3 linked regions of the Diceros bicornis minor genome follow. The protein of the gene in region 2 purifies or fractionates together with the protein of the main gene of each other region. This does not show direct contact. Links are inferred from orthologs where the notes say so. Each region holds a gene or a part of one and is shown on either strand. Other genes may lie near its edges.

Evidence for each region.
Region 1: the proteins of ERBB4 (region 2) and WWOX purify together in Homo sapiens (affinity purification with western blotting; 4 studies listed by BioGRID). This does not show direct contact. The link is inferred for Diceros bicornis minor from reciprocal best matches to the Homo sapiens genes ERBB4 and WWOX.
Region 3: the proteins of ERBB4 (region 2) and signal transducer and activator of transcription 5A purify together in Homo sapiens (affinity purification with western blotting; 3 studies listed by BioGRID, with this or other methods). This does not show direct contact. The link is inferred for Diceros bicornis minor from reciprocal best matches to the Homo sapiens genes ERBB4 and STAT5A.

What each region holds. Positions count from the first base shown.
Region 1 is NC_080771.1:28,083,760-28,091,749, reverse strand, and holds the start of WWOX (WW domain-containing oxidoreductase), read right to left. Parts: upstream 3,064-7,990; 5' UTR 2,825-3,063; coding exon 2,718-2,824; intron 1-2,717. UniProt on the Homo sapiens protein: Putative oxidoreductase. Acts as a tumor suppressor and plays a role in apoptosis. Required for normal bone development. May function synergistically with p53/TP53 to control genotoxic stress-induced cell death.
Region 2 is NC_080776.1:3,746,260-3,753,731, forward strand, and holds the start of ERBB4 (receptor tyrosine-protein kinase erbB-4), read right to left. Parts: upstream 3,002-7,472; 5' UTR 2,927-3,001; coding exon 2,845-2,926; intron 1-2,844. UniProt on the Homo sapiens protein: Tyrosine-protein kinase that plays an essential role as cell surface receptor for neuregulins and EGF family members and regulates development of the heart, the central nervous system and the mammary gland, gene transcription, cell proliferation, differentiation, migration and apoptosis.
Region 3 is NC_080757.1:41,439,948-41,447,264, reverse strand, and holds the start of signal transducer and activator of transcription 5A, read right to left. Parts: upstream 3,018-7,317; 5' UTR 2,922-3,017; intron 2,122-2,921; 5' UTR 2,112-2,121; coding exon 1,984-2,111; intron 1,644-1,983; coding exon 1,487-1,643; intron 348-1,486; coding exon 258-347; intron 1-257. UniProt on the Homo sapiens protein: Carries out a dual function: signal transduction and activation of transcription. Mediates cellular responses to the cytokine KITLG/SCF and other growth factors. Mediates cellular responses to ERBB4.

The sequences.
Region 1 (7,990 bases), on a different chromosome or scaffold from region 2:
CTATCCTGGGGCGCGGCCCTGCTGCAATGGGAGGAAGACCATTGGGAAAAAGGAATGATTTGAAGGGTCATCTTCTGAAAGCCCACTAGCTAAGCTTCCCAAACCCCAAGAGGACAAGTGGCCCTTCCAGAGTTAGGAGGGAAAAGAAGGGCCAGGATGCTTGCAGGTCAGGAGAGATCAAGGAAGACTGCTGGGAATCCAGGGACAGGATCTATCAGAGGCACCCTTCAGCTCCAAGAGCCAAAGAACAGAGGGCCAGCGGGACTGGAGAGAGGTGCCCCCAGATGGGAGCCAGCCAGGCCTTGTCACTACAGTCAGTGTAAACAGTGGGGCCAGACAGGCCAGTTTGAGACATCAAACACTGGTGGGGGGAGCTTTCTGGAGACGATATATGCATTACTGAGTCCCCCGGCCATGGGCTCCTCAGACGCTCTCAGAGGAGCTGGCTGGGGTGTGCAGACCTTATTTAGTGGAGGAACAGCCCCAAGCCCAGACTCTGGACACCATGCCGGAAGGAAGCAGGTGAGAAAGGTGGTACAACATAAGGTGCAGAGGGGACAAGGCAAGGCGAGCCGGCACAGGGAGCCTCCAGACCTAACGCCAGGCTCCAAGCAAACCTGAAGGGAAGCCAGGGAGCCTCCGGGGCAAGTGGCCTGAACAAGGAAAGGCCCCAGAGAGTGGGAGGCAGAGAAGGGCTCCAATAGCCAGGAAGTGGGTCATGTGCATCTTTGTGTTCCCGGGGCTGAGTGTGCCTCCTGCCCATGGAGGCCACAGTAAACCTTCACTAGATGAGCTAATATACTCATTCCACGTGGATTTATTCTACGGCTCCCGGGCACTAAGCAACCAGTGAACAAGAAAAGGTCGCCACCCTCATGAAGTTTACAATCCAAGGGGGAGAGAGAGCCGCAAACCAGGAAGAGCATGGCTAAGATAAGTACAGACAAGACAACAGGCGGTGGGTGAGGGGTGCGCGGTGGGGTGCGGGGTGGGGGGGTGGGGGTGCCAGGGAAGCTCTCCCGGGCTGTGACGTTTAAGCTCAGCTCCCAGGGATGACAAAGCTCTTCACGCAAAGATCTCCAGGCAGAGGGAAGAACAAGGGCCCATTCAGGAGCTGCCCGGAGCCCGCATCAGCCTAAGGGCTCCCTGCCCAGTTGTCCCTTCAATTCTCCAGAGCAGAAATCATCTTTCTAGACACAAACCTCCTCACTCCCTGGCTCCAAACCTTCAGGAGACTCCTGGGTCGTGACGACAGACCCTAGCTCCTCCAGGAGGCGGAAGGGCCTCCGTAAACTGCGTCCTTCCTCCCCTGCCTCAGTCTTCACGGTCCCGCACCGCCACACAGGCCACGCCTGGGGCCTCTGCTCTGTTTCCTCTACCTGGGGCCCTCCTGCCCCCTTGACCTGCCCACCTCAATTGCTGCTCTAAGGCACACCTCACGTGCCAGGCCTCCCAGGCCACCTCACCCACCCACCCACTCGCTGCATGCACCCACTACACACGCTGCACCGGGACCACCTACTATGTGTCACTCTTCCCGATAAGTCTGGACACTCATTAAGGGTGACAACTGGGTCTTATCCATCTCAGTATAACCAGCGCCCAGCAAAGAGCCTGATACGTGATAAGATCCCAATGTGTCTTGAATGAATGAACTCACCAGGTCTTTTTTTTTCTGTTTTTCTTTCTACCAAGCCACCAAGCGCAGCAGTGGTTCACACCCTTGGGTAGATGAGACCCCTGGGAAGATCTTACAACATACCATTGGGGGGAGGGGGACCAATTAAATGAGACTCTCTAGAGGTGTGACCCAGGAAAAGATATTTTTTAAGTTTCCCAGATGTTGAAAATCCCTGATTTACATCCATGTTCCTCAAAGCCAAGTGATAACCAGCCTCATCTGAAAAACTTAAAAAATACACATTCTGCACATTGGGTGTCTGCTGTGTGAGGGTCTCTGTGAAGACCTGAAATCTGTATTTATGACAGTCCCCAGGCAATCCAAATATCAGGCCTAGGAGGTGCTGTCACAGCTGCAGAAACAGCGGGACAGGTTAATAGTGATTGAGCATAGAGTACTTATTAGACCTGTGCTAAATGCTTTATGTACAGAGCCTGAACCAAACCTCCATCAACCCATTTTACAGATGGGAAAACTGAGCGTTCTTTCATTGGTCCCAGGTCACAGAGTAAGTGATAGGAGAAAGGGTCTGCTGGTGTTTCCAAAACTTTCCCAGAAACTATTGTGAAGCCATACTTTATATATATATACAACACACACACACACATATATATATATACACACAGAGCTATATTAGAACATCTGTTAAAAATACATACTCCTAGGTCCCCACCCCAGACCCTTAAGGAGGGAGCTGGACAACCGCATTTTTGTTCTGATTTTTTGGTGGGAGGGGATAAGGCTGCTTTGCTATCACTGCACCGTGCAGCGCCGCCTCCTGAACAGCAGAGGGCGCGCCAGAGCGCTGCCAGGCGACCCCGGCTTGACCCACGGCCCAGAGGGGCCGGGACCCTGGGAGCCTTCCCTCTGAAGCTCTTTAACCATCACCGCCGCTTCGCCCGCCCTCGCCAGCCTGGAGCGCAGGCCCGCGCCCCTCCCCGCGCAAGTGGCGGCCGACGGCAGCGCAAGGTCCAGGCACGTGAGGCCAGGTTCCAGGTGCGTTCCAGGCCCGGGGGCCCCCCTGCCGCCCCCTTACTTGGCATAATAAACCCAGCCGTCCTTGGTGGTTCTCTGCTCCCAGCCCGGGGGCAGCTCGTCCTCGCTGTCCGTGTCGTCCAGGCCCGCGTACTGCAGGGCTGCCATGGCGGCAAAGCTCGGACGCTCGCTCGCTCGCCCGCCCGCTGCCGGGTCTCGGCGCCTAGGAACTCACTCCCGCTTCAACCGAGCGCCGCGCGTCGGGATCCAAACGCTCGCGCCTGCGCACTACGCCGCCCAGAGCCGCTCAGCCCACTCGGTAGCCGTAATCCAGTCTCCGGAGTTTCACAGCTTCCAGCGTAAAAAGGGGCGGGGCCTGAGAAAGACGGCGGTGAAAGCGCCGAGGAGGCCGCACTGCCACTCGGCTGGAAGTAAAACCCGGGGAACGTTGTGTGACTCTGCAGATGGAGCTGAGCTTCGTCAAGCTCCCCGCCTCAGGGAAGGGGCGTGGGCATCCAGTCACGGTCCTGGACTCCGCCTGTTGCTGGGCGACCTGTAATCACTTCCGCATTGTTCTGCCCAATCAGGCAGGCGCTCCAGCAACGGGGCATCCTGGGAAATGTGGTCTAGGCCCCGCCCGACCAGACCGTGGAGCAGAGACGGGAAATGCTGATACTGGTTTTATGGGCTCTAGTCTCTGCTTCTTTTAGGGCATTATGAATAGTGAACGTTTCTGCTCAAACACCTTGCGGAGCTTCCCACCACGAAGGATGATTCCCAAACTTTGTTGTGCTTGGAAACACAACGTTATAAAACGTGCAGAACGTTAAAAATGCAAATTCCCGCACGTTCTGATGACCCAGTCTTGAAGAAGTTTCTCCTAGCCTCAGCATAGTTCTGTTGATGATAAAGGACTAACGTTTATAGAGCGCTTAATTCTGGGCCAGGAATTCCTAGACTCTCTCTTTCAAGTACTGGGCACCTCTGTGAAGTGTGGAATTAGAGGAAAGCAGAGCAGGGGAATAACTGGCAGTTGAGACCCTATTGCTGTATTACAGTTGTTTATGTCTGCGTGCTCCCGACTAAACTGACAGAGAACCACATCTATGCTTCTTTCCGTTTTTTTTATTTTTATTTATTTTTTTGTGAGGAAGATCAGCCCTGAGCTAACATCCATGCCAATCCTCTTTTTGCTGAGGAAGACTGGCCCTGGGCTAACATCCATGCCCATCTTCCTCCACTTTTTGTGGGACGCTGCCACAGCATGGCTTGGCAAGTGGTGCGTCATTGTGTGCTGGGGATCCCAAACCAGGTGGCCAGCAATAGAGCACGCGCACTTAACCGCTATGCCAGGAGGCAGGCCCTATGCTTCTTTCTATGGCTAGCAGTTAGTAAAATGCCTAGACTTACAAGTTTATTGAATGAAGTGAATAAACAAATGAGTGCATGAATGTGATTCCTTAGGTTTGGCCCTCTATAAATCAACGTAGTTCAAAACAAAATTCCCGGTTTGCAAGGTGGCCTCTCTTAAGTCCTCTTGGAGAACCTACAATTATCCTATAAACATCCTGTGTCAAAAACCAGAAGCCTATCTTCAACTTGGCCTTGCCTAAGAAGTTTTCCAGAACATTCCCTGCTTGGAGCTTGCTCCCCCAGCTCAGCATTACAGGGAAATCTACTGACGGTGATTTCTGCTGCCTAGGTCTCAGAAGAATGCAAGCCTCCATCAGCAACATTACATATTTTAAAAGGTTGGGGATGGGGGGCAATGCTGCTTTTTGTCTTCTTCAAGTCCTGAAATTTATATTGCTTTGGGATTCCCACTCTGCATGCTCTTTTTTTGTGTGTGTGTGTGAGGAAGATCAGCCCTGAGCTAACATCCATGCTAATCCTCCTCTTTTTGCTGAGGAAGACTGGCTCTGAGCTAACATCTATTGCCAATCCTCCTCCTTTTTCTTTTTTTCCCCCCAAAGCCCCAGTAGATAGTTGTATGTCATAGTTCCACATCCTTCTAGTTGCTGTATGTGGGACGCGGCCTCAGCGTGGCCAGAGAAGCAATGCGTAGGTGTGCGCCGGGGATCTGAACCCCTGGCCGCCAGTTGCGGAGCATGTGCACTTAACTGGTAAGCCATGGGGCCGCCCCCCATTCTGCATGCTCTTGAGGGGAGACACTCACTTTCCTTTGAAGTTGCCCAACCAAAAGCTAGCTTAACAAAAGCATGTTTTAGTTAACAGGCCCATTATCCCACCTCAGACCTTTGGTATTATCACTCTTTCCAAATCCATGTGCATTTAAATAAGCTACCATTAATTTGCTGCTCTTCTGCTCACCTTGGCTTAATCCTTTGCCCGTCACCAAAGCCAACTTATTCCTTTGATATGAATAGGAAATTAGGTCACGAAGTCCCCTAATGGTGAGGAGGAGGATGAATGGAGTCAAACTGATTAGCCTCAGTTTCTCCGATCATTATCCGTAGCCTCTGCTCGGCTTCTCAAGGATTGACTGCTTAGATTTATCTTGGGTTGCCCTCACCAGAGCCTCTACTGGCACCTGTTGCCTGTGACTTGGCATCAGGCCACAGGTAGTGATATAGTATGGTGTCTTCCTCAGACTGGGTAGTGGTCTCCTTGAAAGAATTCTCAACTTCTGGGTCAGCCCTCTGCTATTCCTACCACTTTCACAATTCCCTCCAGGGCTTCTCAACCTCAGCACTCCTGACATCTGGGGCCAGATAATTCTTTGTTGAAGGGGACTGTCCCGTGCGTTGTAGGATGTCTAGCAGCATCTCTGGCCTCTACCTACTAGATGCCAGTAATGTCCCCCTCCCCCAGCTGTAACAACCAAAAATGTCTCCAGATGTTGCCAGTTCTGCCCCTACCTGAGAACCACTGATCCACAATGACAGTGAGTCAGGTGATTACTAACTCATGAATCAAACACTGATATGGATTTAATTAAGGCAGTGAAGAGCCCGTTTCTGGCCAGAGATTCACAAGGTGGTACTCAGACCCTGCTGGTTCTGATCACCAAGTTCTCTAAGGCTGTCTGAGGGCACTGCCTCTCCAATTCCTAGTCCCTCCGCAGGTGAGAGACATGGGCTGACAGAAGTCTGGCTGGGTGGCCCAGACACAAATAATGGTCCCAAATGGTTATGATGACCTCATTTTATTCCTCTCTCCCTGCATCTTATCCGTGGCCTCTATCAGAAGGTTAAAGACAGGAGACAAACAGGTATTTGGGGATTCATGAGAGTAGGCATGCCAGATTCTAGGATTCATAGTCTTTTGGCTTCATTAAAACTGACACAGTTTTAGTTTTGCTTATTCGATTGCAAGCAACAGAGGTTCATTCAAAAGTTTATGACCAGGGTGCACCTGAGCTAAATTAGGATGTTATCGGGACCTGAGAGAGCCCAAGGACAGCCCATTTCTTTGTCTCTGGTAGGTTTCCTGTCTCTTGCTCCTTCCTCTTTGCTCACATGCTATGTTGTTCTGCTCTCCCCTTACTGGCTTCCTCTAGTCGTAGTTTCTGCTTCTCTTGGACTTGAGCTTGCTCGTGGCTTTGACTTTGGTCTGACAAGGATATATCAAAGGGAGAGCCCTGTTTAGCTTATAAGATTATTATGGGTTTGAGGAGCCTTAAATTTGGCAATGAGCCAGGGTCCTCGACAGGTAACCCTAAGAAAACCTAAAGAATGGTTTGTTTTTGTAAAGCCAGCTGAATCACATTGTGATTAGTGAGGAAGTTAAAATAAAACATCTCAATGTGTGGTAATACAACCACACAGCAGATGGCCCTGTCTGCCCACGATTTTAAAGGCTAAAGCCAATTCCTGAGAAGGATTTCTGCATTTGTTCTTACTGATTGCTCACTTCTGCAATAACTGACGTTATGATGACAAGATTTGATCAGCTTTTGCTGAAAGCAGTTTGGCCTTACACGTGCAGCGGGCACAAGTTTGAGTGTAACGTTCCTGGAGCCACGTTTCTTTAGTTCATTGTCGTTACTGCAATGATGGTCATTTCCCTCCCCTACATGCGCACAAACACGCCAACAATTCTGCACAACCTGCTTCAACTTAAGTCATCATTCTTTGGGAAATTAAGCCTCATGTTTTGATGCCAAACTCAATATGCTAATGAGACCTGGGAAGCTTCTGTCTCTTCTAATAAACTTCTCATGGGAGGTAACCAATAAGGAAGAATATTGAACAGGAGTCGAGGCAAAACTCTTTCTGGTCAATGCGGCCTTACATAGGGAGGTACGTTTGTATTTTACTTATTCATTCAAACACACAAATGAAAAAAAATTATGCTATGTCTCTGAGAGAAACCAAGAAAAACGAAACACACCCTGTAGCCAGAAATCAATTAGGATAAAACCAACAGACACACAAAGAACTCTGGCTTGAGGGTTCTAAAAGACGTTCGAACTAAGACCTATAGGTCTGCAGAGATGGAGAGAGTTTTGGGGAGGGTTTCCTGTAATTTATCTTTGGAACCCAATTCAGCTAATGTCACTTACAAGCTGTGTGTGACAGTGGCCAAGTCCCTTAACTTTCCTTATTCCATTATTATCAGTCCACTTTTTACAGATGAGGAAGCTGGAGCACAAGGAATCTAAGTAATTTGCCCAAGGTCACTGGGTGAGCAAGAGCCAGCAGGAGCTGAGATTAGAATCCAAATAAGGGCATTAGCCCCAGATTCCTGCTCTCAGCCAACTGCCCTGTGAGCTGCCTTTCCAGGTCAGGGGGTCCCCAGTGCTGGTCCTCAGATGGATGCCAAGAGGTTTTCACTCCTCCATGGGAAAGTGAGAAAAATAAGATAAAAGAAATGAATTTTTCATAATGCTAAATATGTTCCACTTAAATATATTACTATCCTTTTATTTTCTATGAGATGACATCTGTCCTTTTATTTTCTGGCGATCTATTTTTTTCCTTTTTCCCAACATGTTTTATTATGAAATTTTCAAACATCCAGAAAAGTTGAGAGAAGAGTACAATGAATGTCTATCTCCCCCCCGCCACGACCACACACACACCTAGATGTAACAATTGATATATTTCTGCCATATTTGCTTTAAAGAGAAAGAATCTGTTGTGTGGGCTGAACCATTTGAAAGTGAATTGCTGACATGAAGGCAGTCGACCCCTGAATACTCCAACAGCTGTCTCCTAAGAATGAGGACATTTTTTTCCATATCCCCAATATCAATGTCACACCTAAGAAAATTAATATTTCCATTACATCATCTACTTGTACTCAAACTGTCATTTTGGATTTTTTTAAATTAAGATAGAATTTGCTTACCATAAAATGCACCACCCTTTA
Region 2 (7,472 bases):
AAGTCTTTATAATTGTCATTATAAAGGGCCTTTGGCTATAATATTTCTAGATAAAATGAATCACTAGAAATGAGACAAACTGCTTCAGAATTACTAAAAGATCATCTTCTCTAAAGCTGATTTTTTTCCAAACAAAAGAAGAAAAAATCAAAACAGGTCCTCTTCCTTTACAATTATTTTAAGAAATATCTTAGATCTAGACAACAGAATCCCCCCTATATTTTTATTCTGTTCACATAGAGCAGTAAATAAGGTGCATTCCTTCTGCTTAAGAAATTAGCATTTCAAAAATATGCCACTTTCCCCTGAACTCCAAGCGTGTCTAATAATGCGAGAAGCAGATTGTCTTCCCTCGTTTCCTTAATTTGTTTCATCTAAAAGCAATTCACTCAACATCTTGTCGCCCTCTGGCAGCTTAGTTTACTTATCCGCACTTAATTTCTCATTTGGACCAAAACAAACTCCTGCAAACTGCTACTGACTGCTAACCGCGAGAGGGGAGACACGCAATATGTATTTACTTGGGAACATACAGACACACAAACACAGCCACACACACACACACAGAGCCTCACTCATACACCAGACAGTCACTTGGTTTTATAAAAGCACAACATTAAAACCCGCGGAACTTCCCCCGCCAGGTGCCGGGGTTGGGGCGGGGTAGGAGTGGGTAGGATGAAAAAAGAAGTCCCCGGGGGCGTTTACAGTTTGCAGCGGATCTCCTTAGCCTGCGAGCTGCAGTTACACCAGGGATGCGCGCGAGAGCTCTTCGTTGTGCGGCCCTTTCATCTAGATCACTTTGTGTTTGGAACCAGGGAGGCTCGCCTTTGTGCCCCCAGAATTTCAAGTGCACAGCCACACACGGGACAACAATGGCACGCTAATCCTCGCGCTCTAAATGGGCTCAATTGTGGGTCTGACAATTCGCGGGGGGAAGCGAGGAGAGACGAGCGAGGGCGCGAGCCGGTGTCGCCTGAGACGAGGAAGGGGACAGCTGCAGAACTAATTTGGATTACATCCCTCGCAGAAATTCTGAAAAGGGCTTTTCGGCATAGCTCAACCTCGAGCCGCACAGTTAAGCCCAAATTGCTGCGGACTCGGAGCCGGGTCCCCCAGCGGCTGAGGCTGAACCAGACAGCCCCCAGTAGGTCGCCTCGTAGAAATTCCTCTCGGCTAAGCCTGCCTGTCAGTCGCCGCTGCTTTTGAATGGGTCAATGTGCATAATCAACCCATTGAGGGCAAATATGAAGGGACCCGGGGTAGGGAGGGGGATAAAAAGGGATGTAGCTAAGAGGCCGCTTGGAATCTCGAGTCCGTGTTGGTGTCAGTCCGGAGGTGGCCGGAGCGCGGGACCCGGTATGCATGAAGAATTTCGGGGTAATTGGGAGGGTGCAAACGGCCAGAACAGACAGCGCGCATTGTGCCATTCGAAGGTCATTCTGAAAGACTCGGTGATTGTAACTTGTTATTTACTAGGCAAGGAGGGGGCGGCGGCGGCGGGGGCGGAGCGGCGAACTACAGCGCGCTGTTTTCTTGGTGAGGTCAGCAGGACACCCTCCGGGGGCCTGAAGCTCTCCTATCTACACTCCCGGGAGCTTTATCTCCCCTAGCTGCCTCCCACGCTCCCGCGACCAGCCCTGGATGGCTCCGGAAATCTCTCTGGCTCTCCAAAAGGCCCCCCTGGCCGCGTGAGACACCGCTTCTCCTCCGTCCTTTCCTGTCCCACGTTCATCCCCAGGAAACTCAAGTGTCAGAAACTTGGAGCTCCCTCGCACTGCAGGCGCTATCACTAGCCCTGCGCGGCGCGGAGCGCCGGCCCCACTGCGCTGCCTCCCCGGGGTCAACTGGCCGTCTGCCTGTCCGGGTCACCGGCGCGCAGGCTCTCCAGCAAACAGTGGCCGCGCACCCGGCGCAGCCACGCCCGCCTGGGGTTCAATCCATCCGCGCGACGGGTCGGCTCGGCAGCCACGCCGGGCAGTAAACAGAGAAGTTGGAGGGACTCCGGCCAATAGCAAGTTGAACTACAGGAAGAACTCTTCCTGGTGCCAAACACAGCAACCGACGGGAAGGCCGGGCTCCCGGCTCAAGTATGTCAAGCCTTTTTTTTTTTTTTTTTAAGGAGTCAGGCGGCCAAGCCAGCTCCCCTCCAGTCAACGGGGCGAGGGCTGCGGGACGCCGGCCGAGGAGGCCCAGAGTTCCGGGCCCCCGGCCGAGGCGCGCGCGCCGGCCCGCCCGCCGCGCTCCAGCTGCCCAGGCTGGGCTCAAGTCGGGTCTGACCCCGCAAGGCTCGGGCGACTGGGGGCGCGGTGGCCGCCGGCAGCACACACAGGTGCAAAGCCCGGCTCTCGGAGCTCCTCTCCCCACAGCCCTCGCGCTCCTAAGCAGCCCAGCCGGCAGCGCCCCGGGACCCCGTCCGTCGCGGCCCTGGCAGTGCGCGCCTCTCCGAGGCTTCTCCCTCCGGGGGCGCAGACGGGGAGCGGACCGTCTCCCCTGACTCGGGATTCGGGTCTCCCACGTCCTGCACAAGCGCGCCCAGAGAGATTCCGCTTAGGCTCATAGAAAACGCGCCAGAAAGAAGGGGGTTCGGGGGAGAGAAAAAGGGAGAGGGGCGCAGAGGGATTTTTCACGATCCATAAAACACACGCACAGACAGAGGGTAAGTTTGGGGACAGAAAGAGGGGCGAACGAAAGCCCCAGGATGAGGCCCCGGTGGAGTGGTCCCTCCGCGCCCGGGAGCGAGCGGGTCTCAGGCTGGGCGAAGGGGGCGCGGGCGCTACCATCGCGGCCAAGCCGGCGGCAGCAGGTTCCACCCCGGGAGCGCGACAGGGAACCGCGACCCACCTGACTGAGAAGCGCTGGGCTGGACGGTCCCCGCCGCCACGAGAAGGCTCCCCCAGACCCACAGTCCTGTCGCCAGCTTCATTTTTTGGACGTCTCAGATCCCGTGCTGACAATTACATGTCCAAATGGCATATCCCCTTTCGGGCACGCGGAGGAGAGCCCGCAGCCAGGCGCGCGTGGGGGCGCAAGGGGGACAGGCGCGCGTGGGGGCGCAAGGGGGACCGGCTCCGAGCGGGGACGCCCGGTCCGCGGGTCCGGGGCCGGGGCCCCGAGGAGAGGAGAGTGTGCGCGCGCGTGGGAGGGTGCCCGAGTGTGTGCGCGGGGCGCTCCGGGCCGGACTGTGCAGCTATTCCCCGTGTGAGCCTTCGCTGTCTCGCTCCCTCCTCACTTTCTCTCTCTCACTGGTTGGTCCACGATAAAAAGGAAGGGGGAAAAAGGTTTCCAAAAAAAGTTGATTGCAAAGAGGCGGTAGGTTTCCGGCCTCTCCCCCCAGCCGCGCTATGTTCGGCTCCCTTTGCAGTGTCCCTGCACCTCCAGTCCAAATTGGGAGGGAAGGGGGGGGGAAGCGTCCTGCTTCTCCCCCGATCCCGTCCTCCTTTTCCCTGTCAGCTTGCCTCACGCTTGTCCGGCGGCTGCGGTAATTAAAGCTCCGAGCGTCACTTCCAACGCTCCGCGGTCTCCAGCTGCAGCCCCACAGAGAAATTAATAAGGCTCCGGCAGAAAAAAAAGGGGGAGGGGGCGGACAAAACCACCCTCACGCAGCCAGCCTGGCTCGGCTCGGCCGCGCAAACCCCGCCCCCGCTCTGACCCAACTAGCCACGCCCTTTCGCCCGCCCCCCCAAAGGGAAATCTTATTGGCTCAGCCACTCCCCAAAATCCTCGGCCTCAGGAGTTGGGAAAACACCTGTCAGGGAGCCGGAGGGGGGGGGGTGTGGGGGCGGAGAAGCCGGATTTAAAGGGCTCACCCGAGGCCACAGACTGAAACAGAGGCCCGGGACAGCTGGCCCGTGGAGCGCGCGGACCACACGAGGGATGCTTGCAGAAAAGATCTTTTTTAAACAAGAAAGTCACCATTTTTTCGTATTGCCCCACGGTGCTCATCCACAGACTGGATTTTCCCTAGAAATAGAAGAAAAGACAACGTTGCTTCCGGCTAAAAGCCTCCCCCCAACTCTCTACCCGCACCCTCCCATTCTCTACGCTCAGAGAGTAGTTTAAAAGCCGATTCAGTGACTGTTAGCCTCTGCAGATTGGAAGTCCGGATCCCTTTTCTCAGCCTCGCCGGCTCTCCCAGTATTCCCACCATTCCAAACTGACCAACACTGCGTCAGCTGAAAACTCCGCATTTGTAGAGCTGCATCCTTTGATTTTAGACTTGATGAGTCTTTTCACCTTTTCCTTGGACTCGAGGACGACTTGGTTTGGGGTTCATTCTCATTAAGTAGATTCTAGTCCAAACCTACTGATTTGGTTCTAAAGAGCTAGAAATTGTCCCAGGCCTGAGCTATTCAGTCTGAAAGGATTAAGAAGCCCATGTCAGGGATAACCAACCTCAGATGATTAGGCTTCCTCGACAGCGGACCCAGCTCTAGGCTCCTTCCAGGTTTTCACTCTGCAAGGTCACCGCTCCCCAAGCCCCAGGTCATTGCTAGCTGTGGGAGTTTCCGGGTTCTTCTGGATCTAAAATATCCTGGGATTGGGTCATATCTGTGTACATATCCCTCGCCTTTTACAGCTCTGGAACTGTACCCTGGGCAGAGGCCAGAACCTCCTGGGAGGTTGTAGGTTATTGGTTTGCTATTTGCACAGGCATTCTTTGTATGGATTATTTTCCTTTTTCAGTTTCTCTAGAAGCAGCAAATATATAAATGAAGAGTATCAGGGGAACTTAAAAATCAAGCCACCTGCCTCCTCACCCATCATTTGAGACCTTCCCCTTCCTCCTCCACATCTTTTATCTATAGCCTTGTCCCTTAAGAATTTCCAGGAGCTGAGCACAGGGAGAAAAAACAGCCTCTTTCCAGAAGCCCGAAGCCTTCCCTTTCTTAGGCCCACAGCTAGCAGCAGGCACAGAGAGGAGGCCAAACAGGTTGAGCATGCTGTTTTACCCAGAAGCAGCCTTGGGCCAGGAGAAGCTAAGCCTAGAGCAGGTGATGGTGACTTCACCAGAGTGGTACTGATTGCAGCAGAACTGTGCACACTGCTCTTTGGGATTATCTTTGTTTTCTATTTTTATCACCTCGACTCTCTGTTTTCTTTTCTTTCATTCCATTTCTTCTCAGCATCCTTGTCTCAAATCCCCTTCTACTACTTTTAATGAATTTCAGACACCTCTCTTCCATGAAAGCTTCTTCTTTTTAAAATTTCCATTCTGTCCCCAGAATAACAACTTAAGCGATTCAGGATTAAGTTTCTGTATCAAAAAGAGAAGTCTTGTTTCTGATAACAATTATGTTGCAAGAAGTGAAGAAATAGATTGTGTACTTTAACTTAAAGTTGAGGGAAACATTAAATACTCTGAATATGTTGAGTTTTTTAAAATATATTTGTGTCTGTCGTGATAGCTTTTACTCCTCCACGAATTTTATGGCGATTTTGTTGCTATAAAATTGTGGCAGGAGGGGCTGGCCCAACTGCTTCGGCAGCCCGGGGTTTGCAGGTTCGGATCCCGGGCACAGACTGACACACCACTCACCGAGCCATGCTATGGCGGCGTCCCATATAAAGTAGAGGAAGATGGGCACGGATGTTAGCACAGGGCCAATCTTCCTCAGCAAAAAAGAGGAGGATTGGCAATAGATGTTAGCTCAGGGCTAATCTTCCTCACAGACAAAAAGTAAATAAATAAAAAATAAAATAAATAAAATTTTGTCAGAAACTCTCCTATACACTTTGATCCCATTTTCCTGGTTTTAACTGATTGAAACAATGATTAATACCTGGCCAAATTTGGGTATCTGAGCTGCAGCCTATAAAATGAATTGGCAAGAAAGCTCTATGCCCAAAAAGCATCCTATATTCAATGGTGACTGGTCTACCCAAGCAGAGTCTAGTTCAAATAATTTGAATATGAGACCCTAGAGACTTAGACAGAAGGTGGTATTCTGTGGGGGCAAACTGGAAGTGAAAACATAGAAGCCATGAGCTAGAGTCAAGAATTAATTCTTTTTGTGTTTGCTCCCATTTGCTTCCCAACATCTAAGGAGGGGACATTTGCCACCTGATGTGGAAAGCACATGCTAACTGGATTGCTAGAGGATTTCTGAGATGGGTCTCTGTATTTCTTCATTTTCCTATCGATCTTTATAATAGATCCCCATCAGTTGAGTTAACTAAAATATGTTGCTGTTATTTGCAACCTGGAAAAAAACACATCTAGTAACCCATCATGTTACTTAGCAAACCGTAGGTGAATATCTGGAATTATCTGCTCAGTACCCCTTTTCTAGGAACTGTCCTTCCCTCAGTTGTACATCTTTAACTTGGGTCTGCCTCCATGGTACAACAATCCCCACTCCCTTGTTCTAAGTTGGACCAATCAAAATGCCTTCATCACTGATGATTGGTTGAGAGATGGTCATTTCTGCTCAGTATCTTCCCTGGGATTTTTGTGCATGGGAAAGAAAGAGTTCATATTCTTTCATTCACTGGTAGCTTTTGAGATCTAAAAGTCCGGAGTTGGCCTGTCTATATTTCCTTCTTTGTAGGGATAACCAGGCTGCGGTGAGAAAGAGTGAAGCTGCCATTTGAAAGGAGCCAAAGCCCAGGAAGGTCTGGAAAAATACTCAAGCTGTTCCTGTTGCTTAGTTGTTCAAACCCCGTTTTTCCTTAAGCTAGTTCAATTTTTGTTTTTGAAACCAGAACTCCTGAAATGGTAAAAGAACTTCTGAAACCAGAACAGCGTGAAGTGGTAAAAGAACTTCTCCAGCCTGAGTGAGCTCATAGAGACCATCACGCCCCTTGAGGAGGATGTCTTGATATGGCCCATGTTCAGTTTCCCTTCCCAGTTTCTCATGACTTCCCTTGGCTGAAGCCAGAACCCCAACAAAGAGATTCCTTTGGCCTTTGCTGCTTCCCCATATCTCCTTCTCCACTTCATTTCTTCCATTAGTGGTAGAATTCAAAGAGAGTCTTGACATCATGAGTGACAGAATGCTACTGGTGAGAGAAAGGAACACATTGATCTCAGAGTTCAATGTTGAGTTGGACACTTAACTTTGCCCAGAGTCTGATAGCTCACTTCAATCTCCTGCTTGTTTCTAAGACTTCCCTAAAGGTAAGATTAGAGCTTGCTGCTTTAGACATTTTGTCATTGGCCATAAGTATAAATTTCCGATAAATATCAACTAAGAAAAGAAAACAACACCCTATTGTAAATCAGTTATCTTCTCCTGAACATTTTAAAATAAATACAGGATTCTAATTTTCCCTCCCTGTCCATCATGATCTCCCTCGTCATCTTTCTAAGTTATCTTGTGATCATGAGAAACTTACTTCATATACCTACACCCATTGCCTTGTCTTTAAAGGAAGGGATTGTTATGTCCCAAATCTAAGACTTCGGGGCCGGCCTGGTGGCGCAAGTGGTTGGGTGCGCGCGCTCTGCTGCAGCGGCCCAGGGTTCACTG
Region 3 (7,317 bases), on a different chromosome or scaffold from region 2:
AACTTGCTCAAGTCACACAGTTATTAAGTGGTAGAGCCAGGGACTGAAGCCAGGGGGTCACTCTACACCTGCATGTAATATTGCCTCTTACACATGCCCATTGTCCACGTCCACGTCCATGTCCATTACACACATGTTCATGTCTCTCAGCTCTTTGGTGCTCTCTCCTGCCTGTCTTTATAAAACACAGTTGTCTGGAGAGAAAGGCATATGGAAGAACTTCCCAACTTCTCTCCCCATACCCATGGGACACTCACATTGTTGGCTTCTTGGACCAGCCTCTGTTCATTGTATAGAATATGCCGGATGCAGCGGACCAGGTCCATGGGGCAGCGATCATACGTGTTCTGAAAGAATCCAACAGCAGCTACCAGTGGCCGCCCTCTGCAGTGCCATGCCCACCCCGCCCTCCCCTCTAGCCCCTGCCTCAGCTTTCCCAGGGAAGCCTCAGGAACTGTCACCAGTTGCCTCTATCTCTCTTTGACTCGTTTCCCCTCCCAGATCTTCACATTGGGTTTTCAGGGCATTAGAAACCCACAGTTTACAAACACTTCCAATCTACCATCTCCTTTGAGTTTCACAGCATAGAAATCCTATGACATAAGCAGAAACTATTATCCCCATTTCACAGATGAGAAAACTGATGCTCAGAGAGGTTAAGTACTTGTCTAGAGGCAAACAAATGAGTGAGCAGATGACTCAGGACTCAGGGCATCTAATGCCAAGGTCAAGGTACTTTCCACCATACTCCTGCCCTGGGTTCCTATTTTGCTTCCCTCTTGCCCCCAGGTTTCTCCTGTTTCCTCCTTCTTCTGGGATGGACTTTATTTCCCTGGCACCCTGCTGCTTGTATTTAAGAAGGGTTTTCTGAGAAATACAAGTGAGTTCCAAATGCTTGACTGCTTGACTATGATTACCACCCACACCCCTTTCCTGCTTTGCAAAAACTTCCTCTCTCCCTATACTCCTTCTCCTCACCTTCCACGTGAAGGAGAAACTAAATGTTACATCTAAACCCTGAATTCAAGGTTCATTTATCCAGCTCTCGCCTCCAGGGCACTTCTGCTCCTCTCCCGCCCCAGTTCAGCAGCTCTCCTACCTTTAGAAGAGTCCCAAGAGGGATGACTCGTTGCCTCATTCTCTCATTTCTAGAACCTGTCAGTCTTCCTTTCTCTAACAAAGGAATCTTGACTACTTCCAGCCCTCCTGCTTGATCTGCTTGATCTGTCCCAAATGGCATTTCACCCATCCCCCTTCTCTTGGGGACAAACACGCCCCACCCCTTGCCTCATAATATGCTAAAGGAATCTGACAGGTCTGATTTAGAAAGAGGGGGTGGGGGAAATTGAAGCACAGAAAAGTTGCCGATAAGCTCAGGGTCACATGGTGAGTCAGTGGCCAAGCCAGGAAAAAACCCAGGGGTTCTGATGCTGGAAAGAGAAGGCGGACACTGCTTCCCTGCAGATGGCTCCGAGCGCACACCCACCTGCAGCTGCGTGGCATAGTGCCCCAGCTTGATCTTCAGTAAAAACCCATCTTCCCCCACTTGGTGCTCCGCCTTCTTCTGCAGCTCCTGCACCAGGCCCTCCAGGAGCTGGGTGGCCTGAGCTTGGTCCTGGGGATTGTCCAGGTCGATGGCATCCCTTGGGGCAGGGCAGTGGGAGAAGCCTACTGTGGCACTTCCTCGGGCAAGCAGGTCAAGCGCCACGAGGGACATGGAAATCCCAGGCTCCTGACTAAGGGCGCTCCAGAGCCCACAAGACTTGTTCCCGGCATCTCCACAGGCATCACAGTCTAGCAACATCCCCTCTCCCCTCCCAGGGTCCCATTTCTCTCTTCCCCTTTCCCAGGGACACCGCCCCTTCCGCACAAAGAGGAATAGACAGGACCAGAATCACACCAAACCACAAAGGGGAGACCTAAAAGCCAAGGGGCCTGGATGGTAGGGACCCGCAGAGGAAGGCGCAGGGCAGGGGCACCTACCAGGGCTGGCTCTCGATCCACTGCGCTAAGTAATGCCGGACCTCGATGGGGAAGTGCTGCCCGTACAGCACCTGCATCTGGCGCAGCGCATCTCCCTGCAGCTGCTGGGCCTGGATCCAGCCCGCCATGTCCGTTCACCTAGGGCGAGTACAGAGCTGAAGAGGCCCCTCCTCGTCTCCTCGGCAGAGGCGAGGGCTGGGCCTGCCCGTGGCCCTGCCATGCCCACCCATCCCTGGACCGCGGTCAGGCCATGCCCCTCCCCTCCTACAGACACGCTTTCCTGTGCGGGAAGAAAGATGGGGGGGGCTGCCCTTCCCTCCAACAAGGAACCTGCTGAGGCTTGGGGAGGGGCTCTCAAAAGTCAGGTGCCCTCCGCCTCTTCCTCTCCCCTAGCCCCACTGGGGCTTCCCCAGAGGGGGGACAGCTGGAAACTGAAAGAGAAACTTGGCAGAGGCCCACGGGCCCTCTGGGGAGGGCTACAAGAATCCCCCCTACCCTGCCTGGAACCCCGACTCCCAATTTCTGGGAAGGAGGGATAATCTAGCCCAAAGTTAGGGCAACGCCACCGACGGCTCCCACTGGACGACTCATCCCCGCGGGCACGTGTCTGGGGTTGTTAGAAAAGAGGGCTGGGGAGACAGACGCTCTCCCTCTCCTCGGCTGCCCCCCCAGCTGTGCCCCATGGTCTCCCACTGTTGATCCCAACAGCGCCCCCTGCCCACTGCGGGCGAGGACGGCGCCCACCCTCGGCCCCCTCCCTCCATCCGCGTCCCTCGTTCCTGGTCCGCGCTGCACGCTGCGCCGAAACTCCCTCTCGGTCCCGGGACGGTCCCCTGCACCCCGCCCAGCCGTCGGGCTTCGGGTCCCGGGGGCCAGGGCAGGAGTCGAGTGCCCCCTCGCCGCGCGCGCCGCCCGGGACGCGCTGCCGGGCCACCCACCTGGTCGCGCCGAGCCGTCCGGCGGCGGGACCGGCTCTCCGCCCCTCGGCTCTCGCTCCCGGCCCGGGCTGCTGGCGGCGGCGGCGGCGGCTGTTACTACAGGAAGGAGCAGAGAGCAGCGATTTCCTCCTCAAAGGTCAGCTGCCTCCGATAGACCAAACACAGCGCGCGAGCTTTCGCCAACACCCCTCCCAGCCGCTGTCGCTCCCTCCCTGCCTCCGCCCTCGGTCGCTGGCTCCCCGGCGAGTGCGCAGCGGCGGCCGCGGCCGGCCCCGGGGTGGCCAGGCTGGGTGGCGCTGGGCGTGGGGACTGCCCCGACGGCGGGCTCCCCCGGGAGTCCCAGCGGCCTGCGGCCCGGGACTGTGGCGGGCCAGAGGCGCAGGGGTGGCCGGAGGACGGGGGTGGCAGAGCCGGGAAATCCCGGGTTCTGGAAATCCCAAACCAGGGCCTCAGTTTTCTCATCTGTAAAAAGGGAGGAGGCAAGGGCTAGACTAGCTGGATATCCTTCCAGTTCTGGCGCTTGTCATCTATTGAGTCTCTAGATTAAAAGAGTAAATGTGTGTGCGCGTGTGTGTTTATGTGGGTTGGGGACACAGCTTTTGTGACCTCAGAGGCAAAGCCATAGGGAGGGGAAAGACTGAAGATTCCAGAGAAGCCAGCTCGCTCCCAGGGCCCCAGCTCCCCTCCTTCCATTACTCCCACCACCGTGCACTCACCCAACCTCCTGAAATTTTGCAAATAAGCAACAGAAGTCCAGAGAGGGGAAGGGGCTTGCCGAGAGTCACACTGTGGCACATGGCCTAGTCAGCAGAGTATGATCCATAAATGACCCTGCCGCTTTGTTCACCCAGCCCAGTCACATCTGAGGCCGGTCCTACCTTCAGAAAGGTCCAGGGAGGGCTATCTTGAATCCTCACAAGCTCACGACTGCCTATGGGCCTTGCCAGAGCAGGGAACACCCTCCCTGAGCCTTTCCTGGGTCACAGCCCCCTCACTGACAGCCTGCAGGGCCTGCGGTGTTGGGCAAGGCCAGACTGGAAGCTTTCCATCCCCTTTGCCCAGCTTCCCTCTCCTCTGGGCCTCCCCTCTGCCTGGCAGCTGGTATTGGCAGCACAAATGGAGGAGACAGCCTGGCTGCTCACTCAAGGCCCAGCTGGGCTGAGACCATGTGTCCTGGGGGGAATCATTTTCCTCTTCCTCCCTCCCTCCCTAATGCCTTCTTGGATCTGCCCCTTTCTCTCCATTCCCTCCCCCCATCCACTCCCCTACCTTCCTTGCCCCTCACTACCTCCCCCACTTTCATTCTTTTTACCTCAGAGAAAAACTGAAGTTTAAAGCTGCAGAAGCTGGAATGTGTGGGTCCTCCCCCCCCACTGCCATGTGTGGTCACAGTCTCTTAGTTGGCAGGATCATGAGGAAAGGAATTGAAAACCATAAGGGGGTTTGCAAAGGACTGGGGAAACCTTGCTCCTTAGGTGTTCTGCAGGGGAGCCCTAGGGAGGAGAGAGCACACCTCTCCCACCCTCCCTTCTTCCTCCACTCTGTGCAGTGGATTTGGCAGGGGAGGGTGAGACACACAGAGCTAGGGGGTCACCTGGGATGAGAGTCAAGTGTCAGAGTTGGAAATAACTGTAAAGATGATTTTACAAATGGGGAAACAGAGGGTGGAGAGAGAAAGTACCTTGGCCAGTGTCACAAAGCCTGTCAGTGGCAGATCCAAACCCACTGCCACATGGTGGGTGGGTCTGACTTGGCACCTGTGCCCTCCAACCTCTCACTTCCAGCAGGTAAGTCAGTCGGTGGGAGAAATTCCTTGGGTTTCCTCTGAGCCACGTCTGGAGGGCAGAGGAGCACCGATGCCATGCACTCACATCTGGGCATCTGGAGAGGGTGATATGGGGGTGCCGGCTCCAGAGTGGGGACCCTGCCTGCTCACTTCCAGGCAGCCAACTTTCCAGCCTCTTCCCCGGGGCCTGCAGGGGCCTGCTGCTCCAGTGGGCAGCCCCACCCACCAAACATCTGGCTGGGTTGGGCTGGGCTGGGCTGGGCTGGGCTGGGCTGGGCTAGGGCGGGGGTAGTCCTGGGTCCTAAAATGCTAGCATTGAGGTGCCAGTGAACAAAACTGGAGGGCTTGGCCTAAAAGGACGTGCCCTAGGGCCTGCTAAGCCCTCACATGCCCCCCCACCCCCCCACCCCCGCCTTGTGTCCAGTGGCTACCGCTCTTCCCCACCGACCTCGGGCTCTTTCCCCATTTGGCCTCCCTGGCCAGGAGGCCCTGAAGCCCAGCGTCCTTCTTTGCGTGTTTCCTCCTCTTGCTTTTTGATTCTCTTCCTCCTTTTGATTCTTTCTGTCCAGGTCTCTGTCTGGTTCTGGGTTTCTCTCCATTTCTTTGGGCCTCTGTGCCCCCTTTTAGATGCCGGGAGAGGGGGAGGAGCTTTGGAGCTTTCCCAGGATGAGCAGAAGCCACCCAAGGGAGCGGAGGAGGGAAAGGTGTCAGAGCTGGGTTGGGGGCAGAGGTGGCTGTGGTCACAGCTCCGGATAACACAACTACCCGGAAATGTCAAATTTGGGGTTTCTTTTTGCTTTCAGCCCCCTGGTTTGGTCTCTGCTATTTCCCACCACAAAGCACCCTGGTGGTTTTAGAGGCCCAGACTATGGAGGAGAAAACTGAGGCCTAGGATGTGGGGTTCAGGAAGATCAGAAACTGCCTAGCGTCCAGACTGAGCTGGGGTCGCAGGCTGGCCTCCCCTAACAGCCCCTCATTTGCAATTTCAAGTCGCAGCATTACATGGGGAATGAGGAAGGATTAAAAAAATCTTATGGGAATACATTCCCCCAAAGAAGACTGACCATATTTTATTGGGAATAATAATAATCCCTAGTCTAGTTTGTAGTAGCACACCATGCACACATCCTGAACTGAATCATGGCACATTCATGCACAAACATGGCTGTATTCTTCAACTCAACCCATCCTTGCAACAACCTTGAAGGTGAGCAGGGCCAGAATCATCCCTTGTGATTACGCCAGGGAAGAGACCTGTCCACAGCTGGCACCAGGATCCAAGTTGCCTGGCCCTATGGGCAGGGTCTCAGTACAGTTGTGTGTCACTTAACAACAGTGACACACTCTGAGACATGCTTCATTAAACAATTTTGTCGTTGGGTGAACATCACAGAGTGTACTTACATAAACCTAGATGGTATGGCCTGCTACACACCTGGGCTATATGGTACTAATCTTATGGGACCACCATCATATATTCAGTCCATTTTTGACTCTAACGATGTTGTGTGGCACATGGCTGTACAGCCTTTCTCAACTTCCCAAAACCCCAGCACACCCTCAGAGTGAAGGTGTCTCCTTTGGCTGGGCTAGCCCATAATTGTTCTGTGGCGCGGAGCATGGCGCCTCCATTTCCATGCCAGTCCATGCCCCTGCTCTGTTGAATGAGGCAGAGTGACCTGTGTGTTACATGAAGGTGGGTTCGAGTTTATGGAGGAAGAGAAGAATTATCTCAAGTCCTGTTTCTGGCCTGACCTTGGAGACAGGGTTAGCTGAGAAGGCCCTGCAGATGCCCCTACCCTGAGGAGAACAGACTGAGGTCACCTTGACCTAACCGTCCCTGGGGGCAAAGGGAGGTGGTACAGAGATGCCTTTGTTTCCTCTGCTCCTAGTCCTTTCTTCAAGGAGAGTTCCTGTTGTGCAGGAGCCAGAGGGGAGGTGGGGTGGGGGTGCAGAGCCTTCCCAAGAAAGCTGGAGGTGTTCCAGGAAGTATCTGCGCTGGGGAGAGCTGAAGCCCTCGGGCTGTTAGATGTCCTGCCTCACCCCCACCTTGCCTTTGCTGGGATTGCCCACCTCCACTCCAGCCCCCACCCCCGAAGCTCCTGGAAGTCTATGCTCAGTGTATATCACACCCCCAAGATCAAGGTCTCTGCCTCTCGCGGAGTCTCCTCTTCCTAGTACCTCCCTGTAGAAACGCTGTCCCGACGCTTGTCTGTGAAGACAGAGCAGGATGTAGGGAGGGTGTGCATGCGTGTGGTGAGGAATTCCATGTGAATTGCGGGGAGGGGAAGGAGCTGCTGGGTCCCAGGTGAAGCCTGTCCACCCTTCCTGCCTCTGTCCTTTGTCCTCTGCCACTCTTCAGGGAAGTCAGTTTACAGTGAAGTCACCAAGAGAACACAAGGCCATCCAGCCTGAGGCATAGTGACTGTCCTCTGTTTCTGGGAATAGAGTGAGGGGAGGGGTGCGGGACTGACAGGGTGAGCGGGAGGGGGAATCCTGCCTGCCTTTGCCCAGCAGCCCTGTCCTTCAGCCTGCCTTGGGAGAGACGCTTGCAGGCCACCGAGAGGAGGGGTGCAGTGTCTGTGCTGAGCGCACGCTTCCTATCTGGTC